Linked DNA regions of Ovis aries. The protein of the gene in region 3 interacts with the protein of the main gene of each other region in a pairwise test. Links are inferred from orthologs where the notes say so. Each region holds a gene or a part of one and is shown on either strand. Other genes may lie near its edges.

Region 1 (5,253 bases), on a different chromosome or scaffold from region 3:
AAGTAAAAGTGAAGTCGTTCAGTCGCGTCTGACTCTTTGTGGCCCCATGGGTGGTAGCCTGCCAGGCTCCTCGTCCATGGGATTTTCCAGGCAAGAATACTGGAGTGGTTTGCCATTTCCTTCTCCAGGGGATCTTTCTGACCCAGGGTTTGAATCCAGGTCTCTCATACTGCAGGCAGACTCTTTACCATCTGAGCCACCAGGGAAGCTTGACCAAATTAAAGAGTACCCACAAAAAGGAAAGATGTCTTTAAAATGAAGAGCTCATCCAAATCTGTAAAAGAGAAGCCAGAGTGTGTAAGTGTGATGCAAGTAAAAATTAGACAGTTTAAAAGAAAATTGAAGAAATTACATCTGTAGGACCTTAAAATCAACAGTAAGTGCCTTTTTAAATACTTTTACAGAAAGAAGAGACTCAATGGAATCAATGGGATAATCATTACAGTGTAAAAGTCAACTGAAAGAATGGAGAGACTCAAAACCCACTTCCTACTACGACCTTAAGAAGATATCTGAACCTACTTCATTTTCACAGCAGATAGTTTAAAAATATTACATCAAATGCAGTATAATGGCAAGTTCACAGAATGTTCTAATCCAAATTGATAAAATGAATATAAGAGATCTCAGGTGGCATTAACCTAAGAGCTTTAAAGAAACTCAAAAGTTAGAACTGAGAAAATATTGGATGAAGTAGATACAAATGGTCTCTCTGCCAAAAATGTCAATCAAGAGCATTTTTGGAAAGTCAACATAATACCAGGTTATCAGAAGTAGTGAACTTGTTTTTGGAAGTAGTAAGTTTACTTTAGAGCCATAGTTTGGTGAGTCGATTTTCTACACTAGTGAAATCTATACAATATATTTGTATACAAACCTTTCTAGAAAAAGAACAAATTGTTTCTGTTGAGATAAATTATACCTCACTAATTTGGTATCTTTCTTCCATGGAAATAAACAAGTTTGAAAGAACACAATTACCATGATTTCATATTTAGAATATAAAATTAGTTGATCAAACAAAAAAAAAGGAATGGTATAAACATTTGTATCTGTTGATAATGAGCATTTAAAGGTAGACTTTAAAAGCAGATTTTCTGAGGGATTTGTACTATAATTTTTTCTTATTTAAGAGTTTTATAAATGATTTACAATGTAAAATATACAGTGACATTTCCAAACTTGCAACTGATACCAACTCCTCAAAGTACTATACACCAAGCTGATGAGTACAACTAAAAGAACATATTTCAAAAGCTGTATGATTGGGCAGCAGAACAGACAATAAGTCTCATCATAACTATTGTATAACAATTATATATATGTAACTATTATACATATAACTATATATATACCTGGGGAAACAATTCCAAAATTTCATATTTAAAAGATAATGATCTTTTTATAATTTGAGGTCCCAGAAACAAATCTTTACTGATACTACCTAAGAAGAAATAAGAGAAATTTAAAAATAAAAAAGCCAACAAAAAATACCTAGATTTGATTACTTTATATATGGTTCTAAAAAACTTCCTATAATTGTTTTTCATACTTATATAAAACATCATGAATGTAAGAGCTCTACCACTTTCAATTTCCCCAAACCTTTGCTCAGAACTGCATAAAGTTAATATATTCTATTAAAATGTCAGCTGCCTCAAGCAAGAACACTGATAAATATATTTCTGAAAAAAGAAAACATACAGCATTTATTTAACTGTAGATAGAATGACATGGAAGAAAAGCTTTAGAAAAAGGTGTAAAAAGAAGAAATATAGATGATAAAAGCATAAATCATAAATAACAGATTACACAAGGTAAGTTTTTTTTTAAAAAAAAGCATAATTAAACCCAGTTTGAGTATAGAATTAAAAGAGATACTACAAAATAGCAAAGGTACTGAGAGAGGAACAGGGTGATAGGATCAGCTTTCTTTGCCTTGAGTCTGGATACCCTTGATGTGGCCTTGTTGGTATTTATGACTATAATAATACACAGGGGGAAAAAATGAAAATGCCTAAGTTCGCAATAAGTCAATTTTAAAACTGGAGAGAACAGCAGTTTTAGGACAAGTGATAGTAAGCAGGGAATGTACAAAGCTATGCCTCAGAGATGACTAAAATAGGCTCTGGAAGAACAAACTAATGATGGATAGCCCTATAAAAGTTCTTAAGATATTAAATTCTCAATTTGGGGTTCTTAAAAGCAAAAGATAGGAATGAAGTAAAGAACTGATAATAGAGGAGAAATTTTAGGGAAAGACAATATAATGAACCAAATATCTGGTAGAAGATAGATTACTTCCATTGCTTTCCTGGAGCAGCAAAAAAAAAAAAAAAAAAAGGGTCTTAACAGGTCAGTCACCATTATTAAATTCCAGGACAGGATGCCTCATACCTCATCAGCAAGGCATGCTAACACTAAAAACACATTCCTATTTCCTACTGAATTACCTCAAGTCATTTCATGCATTATCTGCATAATCTATGGACTCACCCTGATTTGTTTAAAAGGTCTGACATGGAATATTTACTAGTCTGGCAAACCAAGGACTTTGATGTCTACTGAAAATTTTCCTTCTCTGATTTAATGTTTTCACTTTCTCACTTTTGATTTTTTTCTTAATATTGTCGTTTAAACTCTTAAGCTATCAGAAGCAAAATTTCAAGTTGAGAGGCAAAATCACCACATAAGCCATTATAAAATTATAATCTACAATAAAACCAACTCACCAACTGGATGAGTGATGGTGTTCTGTAGGCTGGGAATTACCACAGAGTAGGTAGGTGAGCGATAAGGATAAATTGTTGTTGGATTTGTAGAGATGATATTCTGTGTGGTACCAGAAAATACATTGGAAACGCTTAGAGGGAAGCGTTTTCGCTTCCCTGGACGAGGTTGATAAACCCAACCTAGAGAAGAAGATTAACCATTTTTAATTTGAACCTACAAATCCTATTTAGCCTTTAAATAGTTCTTTTCACATTAAAAGTCCAAAATACTTCTAAGTCTTAGTTGTCTGAAGTATCTTTTCCACTTCTATGATACTATTTTTGAGCATTTCAGCATATCTATCCATATGGCTCCTAGCTAGTGGTCAATGTTGTAACTAATAATTCAAAGGAAGACCAAGAGCAAATGTCTTTTCTCCAAAGACACATGATGAATTTACAGTAAAATCAACATTAAAGGCACTGAGTCTGAATTCCAAAGTTTTTCCTCTACCTATTAAAAAAAAATGCCCCAGTAAGATGCTATTTGTCTCCTCCCGTTTTTTTTTTTAATTTCTGTAAGATACAATTATCTATGTCTTACAATGAAGTGGTTATTAATGACCAGTCACTATTTTTATGTCTTCTTTGGGAAAAGTCGCCCTTTTAGACTTGGCAGTCTCCACATCCACAAACCACCCAATTTCCTTCTAAACTCAGAAAAATGGAGTTATGGCAGTTGTTGCCACTGTACAACCAAGAGAATCACTGGTTCCCTGTAACCACTACTCTGACCATTGCCAGCCTGAATCTCTCTATTACTTTAGGAAAAAAATTCTTTCCATGCACAATGTGTTGGTCATATCAACATATATTAAGCTTTTACCAAGCTTAATAACAATGTCCTCACTGCTGGGGAGAAAGTCAGAATTTATTTCAAACTATATCATGATGAGGATAAACTTATCAGGCAGGAGGCAGGACTAAATTCTGATAACCATATAACATTAAAATGGAGCTTGGTGCTAATGCCTGCAGTGTGCACTGCATATTTTTCTGTTGCTATGAGCTGAACACTTCATTTTCTAATATATTTGAAATATCATAGCATAGAACTCTGGAGCTTCACCTTCATTAAATTTATATTTTTATATTAAATCAAAACCACTGTAAAACTGTATATCCCCAGGTTTGCATTAGTAGGCAAATATAAGACCAGATCAGGTTTGCATTGGTTGGCAAATATGAGACCAGATATCGTTCTACTTTGCTCTGTTTAAGAAAACTTACGTCCAGTGTCAATTCAATCGTTACTATAGTATTAACCATAATTTTCTCTATTGTACATATCAGACCAGAAAAAAATTACACTTTGTCTTTCAATCTCATCCTAACCTATTCTTTACCTAAATAAATAAATTTAAAAGAAATTAGAAAGAGGCTTTGTTCATTTCATTTGATTACCAGGAAATTCCTCTCTGTGCTTTTCTTTAATCTTTTGTGCTTCATCATAATAGGGTTTCTTTTGTTCTTCACTAAGTTTGTTCCACTCTAACCCGAGCTGGACACTGATTTCTGCATTGTTGGCTGCTGGGTTAGCTTTGGCTAGTGCTGGCCGGTGGATTCTTGCCCAAACCATAAATGCATTCATGGGTCGCTTCACATGACCATTTCTGTCCTTACTGAAGGGAGTATCTGGTATTCCTACATGACAAAAATTAAAAGACTAAATTAATGTGCCACACACACACACACACACACAATTTTAAAGTGAAGTGCACCTCCAACTATATTTACTTTTTAAACATATGGAGAAAATATTCACTTCAGTATAGTCAAAGAACTGCCAGTATTCCATAATTCCTCATAACCCTTGAACTCAGCATTCTAAACTGTGGTTTAGAATGATTGTTCTTTTCCTCAGAAAGAATATTATTATTGAAGACACTGTAAAATGCTGGCTTATTACTTCCTTGAGTTATATTAATGCTTCTAACAACAATTAACATTTGGCTTATTTCCCATTAAAAATATTCTATTAATGGGGAACAAGAACTATAACTTATTCATGACTATAATCCTAGCACTAGGTGGGTGTACCCTAAAAATTTAAAGGAATTCACTTACATGCCGCTGGAGTGCCCATTCAAGCAAAAATACTTATATTACAGTGTTAGTTATATTTCATTATTAAAGTGAAGCACCTGCCAAGGTGGGTCATTAACACTAGTCCCATGTCCTGGGAAAAAAGAGGAAAATAATAAAGGTGACTTTTTGAAAGTCACAGGGGCAACTGAAATTACAATAAAGGAAGTTGTTTAAAGTCACATTTCTTATATAATTCATCAAAAGCCACTGTCTACAAATTTCACATATTCTATCTTAAGGTTGCTTAACATATAAAATTTTAAAATGCACAAAGGATGAAACAAGTATTATAAAGAAAGCTTTCCCTTTCTCTTCTTTAGAAAATGAAAACGAAGTTTAAAAATTCCTAAAAGTGAAAAGCAAGAGGGTGGGGAGGGAAGAATCAATAAAGAAA
Region 2 (5,253 bases), on a different chromosome or scaffold from region 3:
TACCCTCTCCCACGCCTGGAGACAGCCAGCATCTAGGAGCTTAGAGTCCATGGGACCATTAGGCCACATTAGAATGGTACTGGCCACCAAGGGTGCAGTTGGAGGTCCCAGGTCTCAGGTGCAGGTAGAGGCCAGTGTTTAGATACAGGAAGATTATTGTGAATCAGTGCAGGGATCGAGCAATTGCTGGTGCTCCCAGGCAGCCCAATCTGTGATCTGGTCAGAAGGCCATGCCAGCCAAGGTGGACACGGGTATCTATGGAGCCACTGTGCAGATTTCCGGATCCAGAGGCCCAGCCCAGCTGACAGAGGTGTATATAGACTGGTTGTCCCTTTAACTGCCTTTACTGTGCGAGACATGGTCTGAAGTGTTTCTGTGATACTCCGCTTCACCAGGAAGGAAGACAGCGGTACCATGATGCTGAGCAAGGGACCCAGGATCACATAGCTGGGAAGTGACTGATCCAGACTGTGAGCTCCAGCTGCCACCTTGCTGTCCCTGCTCTGACTCAGACCATCCTGCAGTGCCTGGGGCCCCGGCATTCTGGACACCACATCCAGAGCTGTTGACTCAGTCCTGTCCCCTTTGCTGCTGGTCCTTTAGTGCTTTGGGTCCTGAGCACCACCAAACAGGGAGCGATGGACAGAAATCAAGACTCGGCCCACTCGGCAAGATGGAGCACTGGGAGAGGACCCAGGGGTCCCGATTCCCAGAACCAAGCTCTTAGGACTATTGCCTGTTCAGTTCAGTTTAGTTCAGTTGCTCAGTCATGTCCAACTCTTTGCGACCCCATGAATCGCAGCACGCCAGGCCTCCCTGTCCACCACCAACTCCTGGAGTTCACTCAAACTCACATCCATCAAGTCGGTGATGCCATCCAGCCATCTCATCCTCGGTCGTCCCCTTTTCTACCTGCCCCCAATCCCTCCCAGCATCAGGGTCTTTTCCAGTGAGTCAGCTCTTCGCATGAGATGGCCAAAGTACTGGAGTTTCAGCTTTAGCATCATTCCTTCCAAAGAACACCCAGGACTGATCTCCTTCAGAATGGACTGGCTGGATCTCCTTGCAGTCCAAGGGACTCTCAAGAGACTTCTCCAACACCACAGTTCAAAAGCATCAATTCTTCGGTGCTCAGCTTTCTTCACAGTCCAACTCTCACATCCATACATGACCAATGGAAAACCATAGCCTTGACTTAGACGTAACTTGGTTGACAAAGTAATGTCTCTGCTTTTTAATATACTGTCTAAGCTGGTCATAACTTTTCTTCCAAGGAGTAAGCGTCTTTTAATTTCATGGCTGCAGTCACCATCTGCAGTGATTCTGGAGCCCAAAAAAATAAAGTCTGACACTGTTTCCACTGTTTCCCCATCTATTTGCCATGAAGTGATGGGACCAGATACCATGATCTTAGTTTTCTGAATGTTGAGCTTTAAGCCAACTTTTTCACTCTCCTCTTTCACTTTCATCAAGAGACTTTTTAGTTCCTCTTCACTTTCTGCCATAAGGGTGGTGTCATCTGCATATCTGAGGTTCTTGATATTTCTCCTGGCAATCTTGATTCCGGTTTGTGCTTCATCCAGCCCATTGCCTGTTGGTATAGTATAAAAACCCTGTGGGTCCACATATGGCCCAGTTTCTCTCGTGGAGAGCAATAGGCTTCTCACCTTGGCAAACGTGTTTTCTCTAGCCCCTTTTCCTGGGGTCTGTGCCCCTCTGCAGAGCCACTCTCAGGGAGCGGCCCTAAAGCCATCTCTCTTTCTAACCTGTTTGCAGGGCTCTGGAGCTCACCAGTGGCAAAGACGAGATCTCCTTGTTGGTGGAGCAGGAGTTCTTGAGCCTCACCAAAGAGCACCTCATCCTGGTCACCAAGAGCTCGGGGGAGCTGGAGGCACCCAGAAGCAATGCTGAGGGGCCCAGACAGCCAGCCCCCTGCCTTCTCATGCCTTCACTGGTGTCCAGCAGCAGTGAGCACCCAGGAGCCTCCGTCATGGCTGGTGACAAGCTCCTGGAGCCAAAGGTGGCCGTGTCAGTCGTTGGCAGCCGGCCAGACTGTGATTCTGCCACGTCTACGGTCACGGGCATCCTGCGTGCTGCCAAGGTCAAGAGTGCCAAGGGGACAGAGGACAGGAGCCGCAGCCTGGGGGCCTCCAGCTCGGAGATCAGCAAGCTCCTGGCTCAATTCCCACTGAAGTCCACAGAAATGTCCAAGGCCCCCGACAGCAAGATGGTGTTGGAGGAGACCAGGGTCATCAAGGACTTCCTGCAGAGCAGCATGTTCAGTGGCCCTGGACCCAGAGAGCCCGCGGGGCTGGGCCCGTTCCTTCTGCTGCCTCCCCCGCCTCCGCCTGTGACTCCCAACAAACTCCCCGAGCTCCCTGCTCAGAAGAAGCAGCTTCCAGTGTTCGCCAAGATCTGCTCCAAGCCCGAGGCTGACCCCATCATGGAGGGGTACCAACTGATGGGTGAGTGGGGCTGGGAGCAGGGCTAGGAGGCATGCTTGCTAGGAGGAGAAACTTAGCACGTGGGCTGCATCAGGCACACGGAGCATCGCTGTGCAAAGTAGGGCAAGGTAGCCTTGCTGATGAGCATGGTCCCGGGGTGCAGGCTGTTTTCAGCCCCCACAGCCCTCCTCTGCCAGATGCTCATATACAGGGCACGTCTCATGTAACCAGACATGGTGGCCCTGAATCCAATACACTTTGGGAAGAGGGAGAGGCCTGTTTTGTAACCGACTGGGTTTTTAAATCCATAGGCACCTGAGGACATTGAACGAAGCATTTACCCTTGCTGGATCCAGGGTGAAAGTGCAGCCAGGGGACTCTGAGCTGAATAGGAGGGAATTTAACTGGCTTCTGATGGAGGCTCCTGTCCTGACCATGATGCCTGGTCCCCTCTCCTGGGGATAGGGGGTGAATGTGTAAACTCTCCGGGTGCAGGCAGACTGCTGGCCCTGGGGTTTGTTCCCAGGGACTCCAGGGCTTTGGCAAAGTGCATTCCCACTCCTAAATCGAGGAGTCCGCACCCTCCCCGGATTGCCTCCCCAAATTCCAGGATTCTGCATTTTGTGTCTGTTCTGATCCAGCTACTCAGGCTGGATGGTTCCAAGAAGGAAGATTGGCGGCAGTGACACTTGCTTGCCATCAGCAGTCACTGGGAGGAAGCTGGAAGAAAAACTCCCCCCAGGCTGTGAGAGATGGGTAAAGGAGAGATGCCTGTATTGGGAGGGCCCAGATCCATCTTCCTAAGAAAACAGGGACACAGTCACCCTAGAGAACATTCTGTAGGAGCATTTTAAGAACCCAAGGACTCCAAACTGTGGATGGCATGCTGGACTCTGGGTCCTGGGCAGGCCTCCAGGGGTCCAGGGGCTCTGGGGACGATAAGCTGTGTATGTGAGATGATGGGGCATACCCGGGGGAGGAGACATGCCTCCCACCTCCTTCTCTCCTCTGTCAGACAGGGCTGCTGGTTTGGAGACAGTTCTGTCCCACACACCTTCCCACCATTTGCATGTGTGTGTACAGGTGTGTGCGTGAAGGTGTGCTGAGAGGAACTTTGCAGATGGAAATGCAGTCTGGGCACATCTGAGTGTAACCCTTCTGTGTGTGTAGCTGTGTATGTGTGTGAGCACGCGAAAGGAATGGCAGGAAGGGATGTGTGTGTGTGTGTGTGTGTCTGTGTATATAGCCTTTGGAAGAGGGAGCTTTGGAGATGAGTGAGTGGCAAGTGTGTTTCAGGTGGCTGGGGTGGGCTGTGATGGCAGGTGTGTGGGCCTCTGGGGAGAGGGCTATTATTAGTGGGTACTGTTATCTCAGCACTGGCTGGGGGCCACACTCTGCAACGAGACAAGCTCTAGGAAAAGACACCAGGGACATGTTTTGCTAAAAACTGTCATTTTCTTCTGGCTCAGGCTAGAGCAGCTTTCTCCTTTGCTGGGATGGCAGTAAGCGGGCAGGCCCCATCCTGTCCAGACTCAGCCCCAAGGCCATGGGCTAGTGGGACTAAGAGTTGGTGGGATCGTGTCCACTCCCAACAGGTGATTATGGGCACAAGCCCTCTGATCCTATTGCTACCAGCATGATCCACTGTGCCCGCCATGTGTCCAGTGCCATTTCACAGCCAAGCTCCATGGAGACCAGGACCTCCAAGCTGGGAGAAGCATGAAGGTGCTGAGAGCAAGGCCCTCTTCTCTGCTTCAGCCAAGCAGTGCCTTAAAAAAAAAAAAAAAAATATATATATATATATATATATATATATGTATATATATATATGTATATATATTATACGCTTCTCTGGTGGCTCAGCAGTAAAGAATTGGCCCGCAATACAGGAGACCCAGATTATTTGGGTTCAGTCCCTGGATCAGGAAGATCCCCTGAAGGAGGGCATGGCAACCCACTCCAGTATTCTTGCTGGGAAAATCCTATGGACAGAGGAGCCTGGCAGGCTACAGTCCATAGGGTCACAAAGAGTCGGACGTAACTGAGCATACACGAACCATGTATTTACGCTTGCAGTATGGTGCATCCCCCTGCCATACTTTGTTGGAAGAAAGAGTTTTGTTGGAAGAAAGAGTTCCATCGCTCAAAAGGAAAATCGGGTGAAAAGCCACTGTTGTAGGGGGATCCTTGGTGGTCTAGGCAGTGTCCTTGCACAAGGGAGACTTGGTCTGTTTGGAGAGAGAGAGCTGAGCCTGGCACCGGCAGCAGCCAGTGGCTCACTCGTGCCTCTGTGCCTTTGCCTGCGGTCACCCATGGCTCTGGGTGCAGGGCCTCGCTGCAGACCTCCTCCTCCTGGAATCCCTCCGGTCCTCAGACAGAAGCTGTCTCAGCCGCCCTCTTCCCCCGCTGTGTCCCTCCATCACCTCACGGTCCCCATCTGCCTTGTCCCGGAGCTATTTCTGGGTCTGTCTCTCTCTTCCTCCGTGTTGTGAGTTCCTGCTGGGCCAAGTCTGGCTCTGACTCATCCAAGTGTCCCCAGGACTCAGGTCAGAGCCTGGCGCTGATGAGTGTGCTGAATCGCCACGACGACTTAGCAAGAGGAGAGTCTCTGACAAGGGACCAGCTGCGTGTTGTGTGGGAATGTGTCTGCGCCAACCACCCCCCCCCCCCACCGCCACTAAGCCAAGTGTGCTCCCTGAAGACAGGAACTATCCGGAACCTTTGTGATCCAACCTACAAATGGTTAGAGGGAAGGAAGGGAGGCAAAAAGAGGGAGAAAGGAAGAAGCGGCAGGGAGGAAAAGAGGAA
Region 3 (5,920 bases):
AAACAATCAATATCCTAGGCTCACTTGAAATATTATTCCATTCAATAAATGCAAGGGCTTCCCAGGAGGCACAGTGATAAAGAATCCACCTGCCAATGCAGGAGACACAGGAGATACGGTTCAGTCCCTGGGTTGGGAAGGTCCCCTAGAGAAGGAAATGACAGCCCACTCCAGTATTCTTGCCTGGAAAATTCCACAGACAGAGGAGCCTGGTAGGCCACAGTGCATGGGCTGGCAAAGAGTCAGACACGACTGAGCATGCAGGCAGGCCACAAATGGAAAGAGATGGGAGGGATTCTGGGAAAGCCCATTATTTCCAAAAAACAAAGTGACAGATCCAATTGCACACACATGTTGACCTTTGTCCTCTCACCTTATACCTGCCCAAAGGTAGAAGAGCTTTCTTGTGACCCTGGGGTGAAAATACATGCATGATAGTGACCTAGGAAGCCAGGAAAAACAACCTATGAACCTCTAGACTTCATTCTACGAGAAAAAATTTAATCTCTCATTTGTTTGCATCACTGTTTGGTGGGGTTTTGTTTCATGGAGCTGAAGGCACTATTGAGCAAGACAAATCAAATATTTAGAATTGTGAGTAAATCATTCAAAATTTGAGAAATGTTAGATAATCACCTTCACCAGTTTCTGCACATCACTTTTTGTGAGTGTCCTATCCGTGTTAAAGCCATTACTCGGGTCCAGAACAACAGCTTTCACCTGAGAGTAGGAAAAAGTCCATTACATTTATTTCATATTACTACAACATTAGTTTAATATTTTTCCATTTTTTAAATAACTCTGTCTTGATTACCCAGGGGTGGATCATTCAGCTGAGTTTCTTACCACCCAGTTCCTCAGCATCTTCATCAGAAACTGGAGAAAGGGAGCAATTTTACCTTGGGAAACGAATTTGAATATTTTTACCATATTTTTATTGTGTATTATTATACCAAAAGCAAGAACAGAGAGATATCAAGGAAATGAGTAATTTTTACAGCAGTGAACAACACATGTTAAAAAGAAAAAAACTTACAACACAGGAAAAACATTATTGATGTTTCTAAGATTCTTTGAGATCTTCTAGATCAGTCTCTTAAATCTAGAACTAACATGCTTTATAGACTTAAAAAACAAACAAACAGTATTTTTGCCTGGAAAAATCCCATGGACAGAGGAGCTTCGCAGGCTACAGTCCATGCAGTTGCAAAGAGCTGGACACGACTGAGCACACACAGACACAATTTGTCTACCAATCGCCATAGGTTTTCAATGCAACAAGTTAAGAGAACATCACAGAATTCTAAGAGCAAGATAGGCACTGCTGAAAAAAAATTTTTAATAAAGCAGTAATTCACAAAAATATTTATTCTTACCATAAAAGCAACCAGAGTTTCAGGAACAATCTCTCCATGGGCTGCACATTCTTGTCCTATTTCTCTAATGATATTCTTTATAACACTTTCAGCCTGAGTGGGAGGCATTCTAAATAAAAAGATTTTTTAAATTGTATTTATATATTAGTTTTTCCTTTTGAGATTTCACCACTAATATATTTGTAAAGAGTCATATTATTTATTAACTTAATAATATTTACTAGTATATAAGGCCCCTCTTGTTTTTCATTAGTTGGTTTCATATTTATAAAAATGAAGGACTAATGATAACAGTGAGAGTAATTGGGACTTAATGACTGAAACATTTCCTCTTTATTTAAATGATGGTGGTCATCAAAAGTACCCCTATAACATGATATTTTTTAATTTAAAAAAATGTTAAACAGTATTAGAGATGGAGGATGGGTGTAGGAGTAGAATTAGTGAGAAATTCCACTATGTAGGTGGCAAAGTCAGCTTGAAACAGAACATGCTTATTTCATCACATTCACTAAATGACCTTTCATAATTATCAGAGACTCTTGGAACACAATTCTTGCTCGAATCATCAAAATTCTATTTCTTGCACATCCAAGTGAAGGTTTATACTCTTGATTAAAAGCATAAAAGCAAAAAAAAAAGCAAAACATATAACGAGTCATGGATCATGGGGGAAAAAAAAGAACTCCTGGTGAAAAGGTGGTAGGTTTTAATAGTGATCAGGTTTTCCGATCTAAGCACAGGGGAAATTAGCATGCAGAGAATAACAAAGGCAATCCCAGGTAGGTAAAGATCACTTTCAGCATATTAGGGTTCAGGTAAGGTTAACAACACCTGGCATCTAGTCCAGGAGAACCAGAGAGCCTGGTTTCCATCGTGCCCCGTTTTCTAGCTGAAACCTTGGCCATTTCTCTAACTTCTCTTTGAAGTGATTTTCTCATCTGAAAAGTATAAACCCGACTACTACTCTGTCTCTGGAGCTGTCCTGAGGACTGAGTTCTATATCAATTCAGTTCAGTTCAGTCACTCAGTTGTGTCCGATTCTTTGCGGCCCCATGGACTGCAGCACGCCAGGCCTCCCTGTCCATCACTAACTCCTGGAGTTTACTCAAACTCATGCCCATTGAGTCGGTGATGCCATCCAACCATCTCATCCTCTGTCCTCCCCTTTTCCTCCCGCGTTTAATCTTTCCCAGCATCAGGGTCTTTTCATCAGGTGGCCAAAGTATTGGAGTTTCAGCTTCAACATCAGTCCTTCCAATGGATATTCAGGGTTGATTTCCCTTAGGATTGACTGGTTTGATTTCCTTTCAGTCCAAGGAACTCTCAAGAACCTTCGCCAACACCACATTTCAAAAGCATCAATTCATCGGCGCTTAGCTTTCTTTATAGTCCAACTCTCACATCCATACATGACTACTGGAAAAACCATAGCTTTGACTAGACAGACCTTTGCTGGCAAAGTAATGTCTCTGCTTTTCAATATGCTGTCTAGATTGGTCATTGCTTTTCTCCCAAGGAGCAAGCATCTTTTAATTTCATGGCTACAGTCACCATCTGCAGTGATTTTGGAGCCCAAGAATATAAAGCCTGTCACTGTTTCCATTGTTTCCCCATCTATCTGCCATGAAGTGAGGGGACCAGATGCCAAGATCTTAGTTTTCTGAATGTTGAGTTTTAAACTAACTTTTTCACTCTCCTCTCTCACTTTCATCAAGAGGCTCTTTAGTTCCTCTTCACTTTCCGCCATTAGGGTGGTGTCATTTGTGTATCTGTGGTTATTGATATTTCTCCCAGCAATCCTGATTCCAGCTTGTGCTTTATCCAGACGGGCATTTCGCAAGATGTACTCCGCATATACGTTAAATAAGCAGGGTGACAATATACAGCCTTGACGTACTCCTTTCCCAGTCTATATACTTAGTGGTTAACATAGCGTTGGCAGAAAGTAAGAGCATCAAACCAGCAGCTGGTAACTAACAAACGCCTGCTCAATGAATATAAGCCGCGCGTGTGCGCGTGCGCCGTCGGGCACCCGGTACAGGTCTCTCCGGGTTCTCCTCAGTCCCCGCCCCCCGACCCTCCCCACACCCACCGCTTCAGCCTAAACCTCCCGAGTTCTGGCCGGCGGGGCAGCGAGCAGTGCCGAACAGCGGTGAGCAGCACGCGTTAGCGATCTGACCTGGGGACCTGTGAGCCTCCGACCGGAAGCGACAGCTCTTTACGCTCAGCGGCGGGGCCTGAAGAGTCCTTACTGTCAGTTTCGCCTGAACCAGTTTAGACGACATGCTCCCGCGGCCCAGGCTCCGTCCGCTGACCCATGCTCGCCTCCTCGCGAGGTACACTCCGGATCAAGGGCGTGGAGCCCAGGCTGGGCTGACCTTGGCTGTAGTGAAGAGCCTGAGCCGGGTCTACCCAATTCTTCCCTGGGGCTTTCACGGCAGCCCAGAACTCTCGGCGTAACCATGGAGACCAAACTCTAGGGCCCGAAAGGGGCGGGACCTGGGCGTGGGTAGAGCCAAGGTGGGGAGGCGTGGCTGGGTCCAAAAGAGCCTTTACTGGAAGGGATGGGCGAGGATAACTTAAAAAAAAAAAAAAAAAAAAGACGAGATATAGAGAGACCCAAAGCCCAGAGAGAAGACAGGTTCACTACACCTCAGTGAGCTAAAGGATGTAAAAAACTAGATTTCTTAAACAACCGTATTAACTTAGCAGCGTGGAAACTTATGCAGTGTTAAAAAAAAAAGAAAAAAGGAGATATGGGCAAATTCTCTGCAAGTATCAGTAGACTCATGATTAAGAATCTCTAATGCATCTGAATAGTATTTATATGGATGTTCACTTTATAACTATTCAATGGTGCATATGTTACATTAACCTTTTCTGTATATATCTCATAATAAAAAAAGAAAAGGCACAATAATGGAGAATTCTCCACTTTGGGTTATGCTTTTGGGCTATATAGATCATTAAAATAGAGCTGCATCCTGGTTTCCAGAAATCCTCAAAGTTAAAATAAAAATTCAGATCTCGTGCTTTTCACCTATCTCACTCATGTTCTCTATTATTATCCATGCACTATGCAACAGTTGGCTTTTTTTTTTTTTAAACACAAACCATCATGTTAGTCTATGTAATATGTATGGTTTACCAGTTTTGAAATGGAGGAAGCCATAGTCTAAGAATTAGCTGACAATTTACTTTTCCAGTTTAACCTTCCTTCTCCACAGAAATGCTTGATGATGGAGTGGGTAGCTGAATTTTCAGAGTAATGATGAAAAAGAAACCATTGCCCAAGGAAGACAATGCAAGTCATTCTTACTGAAGGTTCCCTTAGAAAAAGCATTAACTATTTTTAGTCTGCTTTCCCACATCCTTTCAGTCAAGATTCACAAGATCATTTCTTAATCATCTTCCTTAGAGAGATTCCTCTTTAGAGTTAGTTACATGGGCACAGATATGAAGAGCCAGAAAAAAAGCAAAATTTGAGTTTCCTGACACAAAAACAGCAAGCTTCTTAAGTTCATTAGTGTGCATGCATGCTAAGTTGCTTCAGCTGTGTCTGACTCTGTATGACCCTATGGACTGTAGCCTGTTAGGCTCCTCTGTCAATGGGATTCTCCAGGCAAGAATACTGGAGTGGATTGCTATACCCTTCTCCAGGTGATCCTCCCAACCCAGGGATCAAACCCATGTCTCTTACATCTCCTGCAATGGCAGGAAGGTTCTTTACCACTAGCACCACCTGGGAAGCCCAAGTTCATTAGACTTACCCCTAAAAATTGGCCTTTCTTTGTGGTTATCAATTACCTTTAAAGGTGAGATGAAGGATGAGCAAAAGCATTACTTATTGGTTTCCCATCTTTTTCTCCATCACATGCCTCAGCCCTCGGGGAAACAGCAAAGCTTAGGGTCAGATTTTCACAACCTAGGTGGGGGTGGGGCTAGGGGGTGACTTGAAACACTGCAGCTCCCCAAGCATGGGGTCCTGTTCTTTCAAGTGTTACAAGAGAAATGAAATTACAAGAACACAAAATGAGAAAAATTAAGTCAGCAAATTCTGTTACAATCAAAACCAAACCTCTAAAAAAGAGTGGAGGCTAGTGGTTCTTTCTTAAGTGTATTTTCCCCTCAAACGAGGTAAATTTTATATACATAGTCCTAATGAATAAAACGGGATCTAAAGCATAAAACCCTTTACATTATAGCCTCTGTGACAGTGATTCTCAACACTAGAGAGTGAGAAATAGCATATCAGAAATTCCTTGGGAGTCCCCCCATGATGAATTCTGAGATCTATTTACCTACTTTGTATATGCAGATAATGTTACTAGATAGCTTTTTAAAAGGTGAGTTTCTTCCTGTCTTTCACCCATTCACTCCCTCACTCATCTCCTCAATCCTTAAATTAACAACCCAGTCTTCGTTATTGTCTCTTGAATCAATTCAAGTCTCTCCATTCCCACTTCTGAACTAATTAAAGCAACTACTTTTTCTTTGTTTTTTTTGGCCTGGACTACAACAGCAGCCAACTAAATGAGCTC

The links. The genes of interacting proteins can lie anywhere in the genome.
Region 1: the proteins of CFAP206 (region 3) and SOX30 interact in binary tests that used the Homo sapiens proteins (3 or more experiments, as listed by UniProt). The two-hybrid records come from large-scale screens. The link is inferred for Ovis aries from reciprocal best matches to the Homo sapiens genes CFAP206 and SOX30.
Region 2: the proteins of CFAP206 (region 3) and C1H1orf94 interact in binary tests that used the Homo sapiens proteins (3 or more experiments, as listed by UniProt). The two-hybrid records come from large-scale screens. The link is inferred for Ovis aries from reciprocal best matches to the Homo sapiens genes CFAP206 and C1orf94.

The regions. Positions count from the first base shown.
Region 1 is NC_056058.1:66,884,386-66,889,638, forward strand, and holds part of SOX30 (transcription factor SOX-30), read right to left. Parts: intron 4,416-5,253; coding exon 4,176-4,415; intron 2,913-4,175; coding exon 2,733-2,912; intron 1-2,732. UniProt on the Homo sapiens protein: Acts both as a transcriptional activator and a repressor. Binds to the DNA sequence 5'-ACAAT-3' and shows a preference for guanine residues surrounding this core motif. Binds to its own promoter and activates its own transcription.
Region 2 is NC_056054.1:9,137,023-9,142,275, forward strand, and holds part of C1H1orf94 (uncharacterized protein C1orf94 homolog), read left to right. Parts: intron 1-1,777; coding exon 1,778-2,466; intron 2,467-5,253.
Region 3 is NC_056061.1:49,877,252-49,883,171, forward strand, and holds the start of CFAP206 (cilia- and flagella-associated protein 206), read right to left. Parts: upstream 3,833-5,920; 5' UTR 3,472-3,832; intron 1,488-3,471; exon of another isoform or gene 1,486-1,487; 5' UTR 1,485-1,485; coding exon 1,377-1,484; intron 900-1,376; exon of another isoform or gene 871-899; coding exon of another isoform or gene 847-870; exon of another isoform or gene 830-846; coding exon of another isoform or gene 815-829; intron 721-814; coding exon 637-720; intron 1-636. UniProt on the Homo sapiens protein: Essential for sperm motility and is involved in the regulation of the beating frequency of motile cilia on the epithelial cells of the respiratory tract. Required for the establishment of radial spokes in sperm flagella.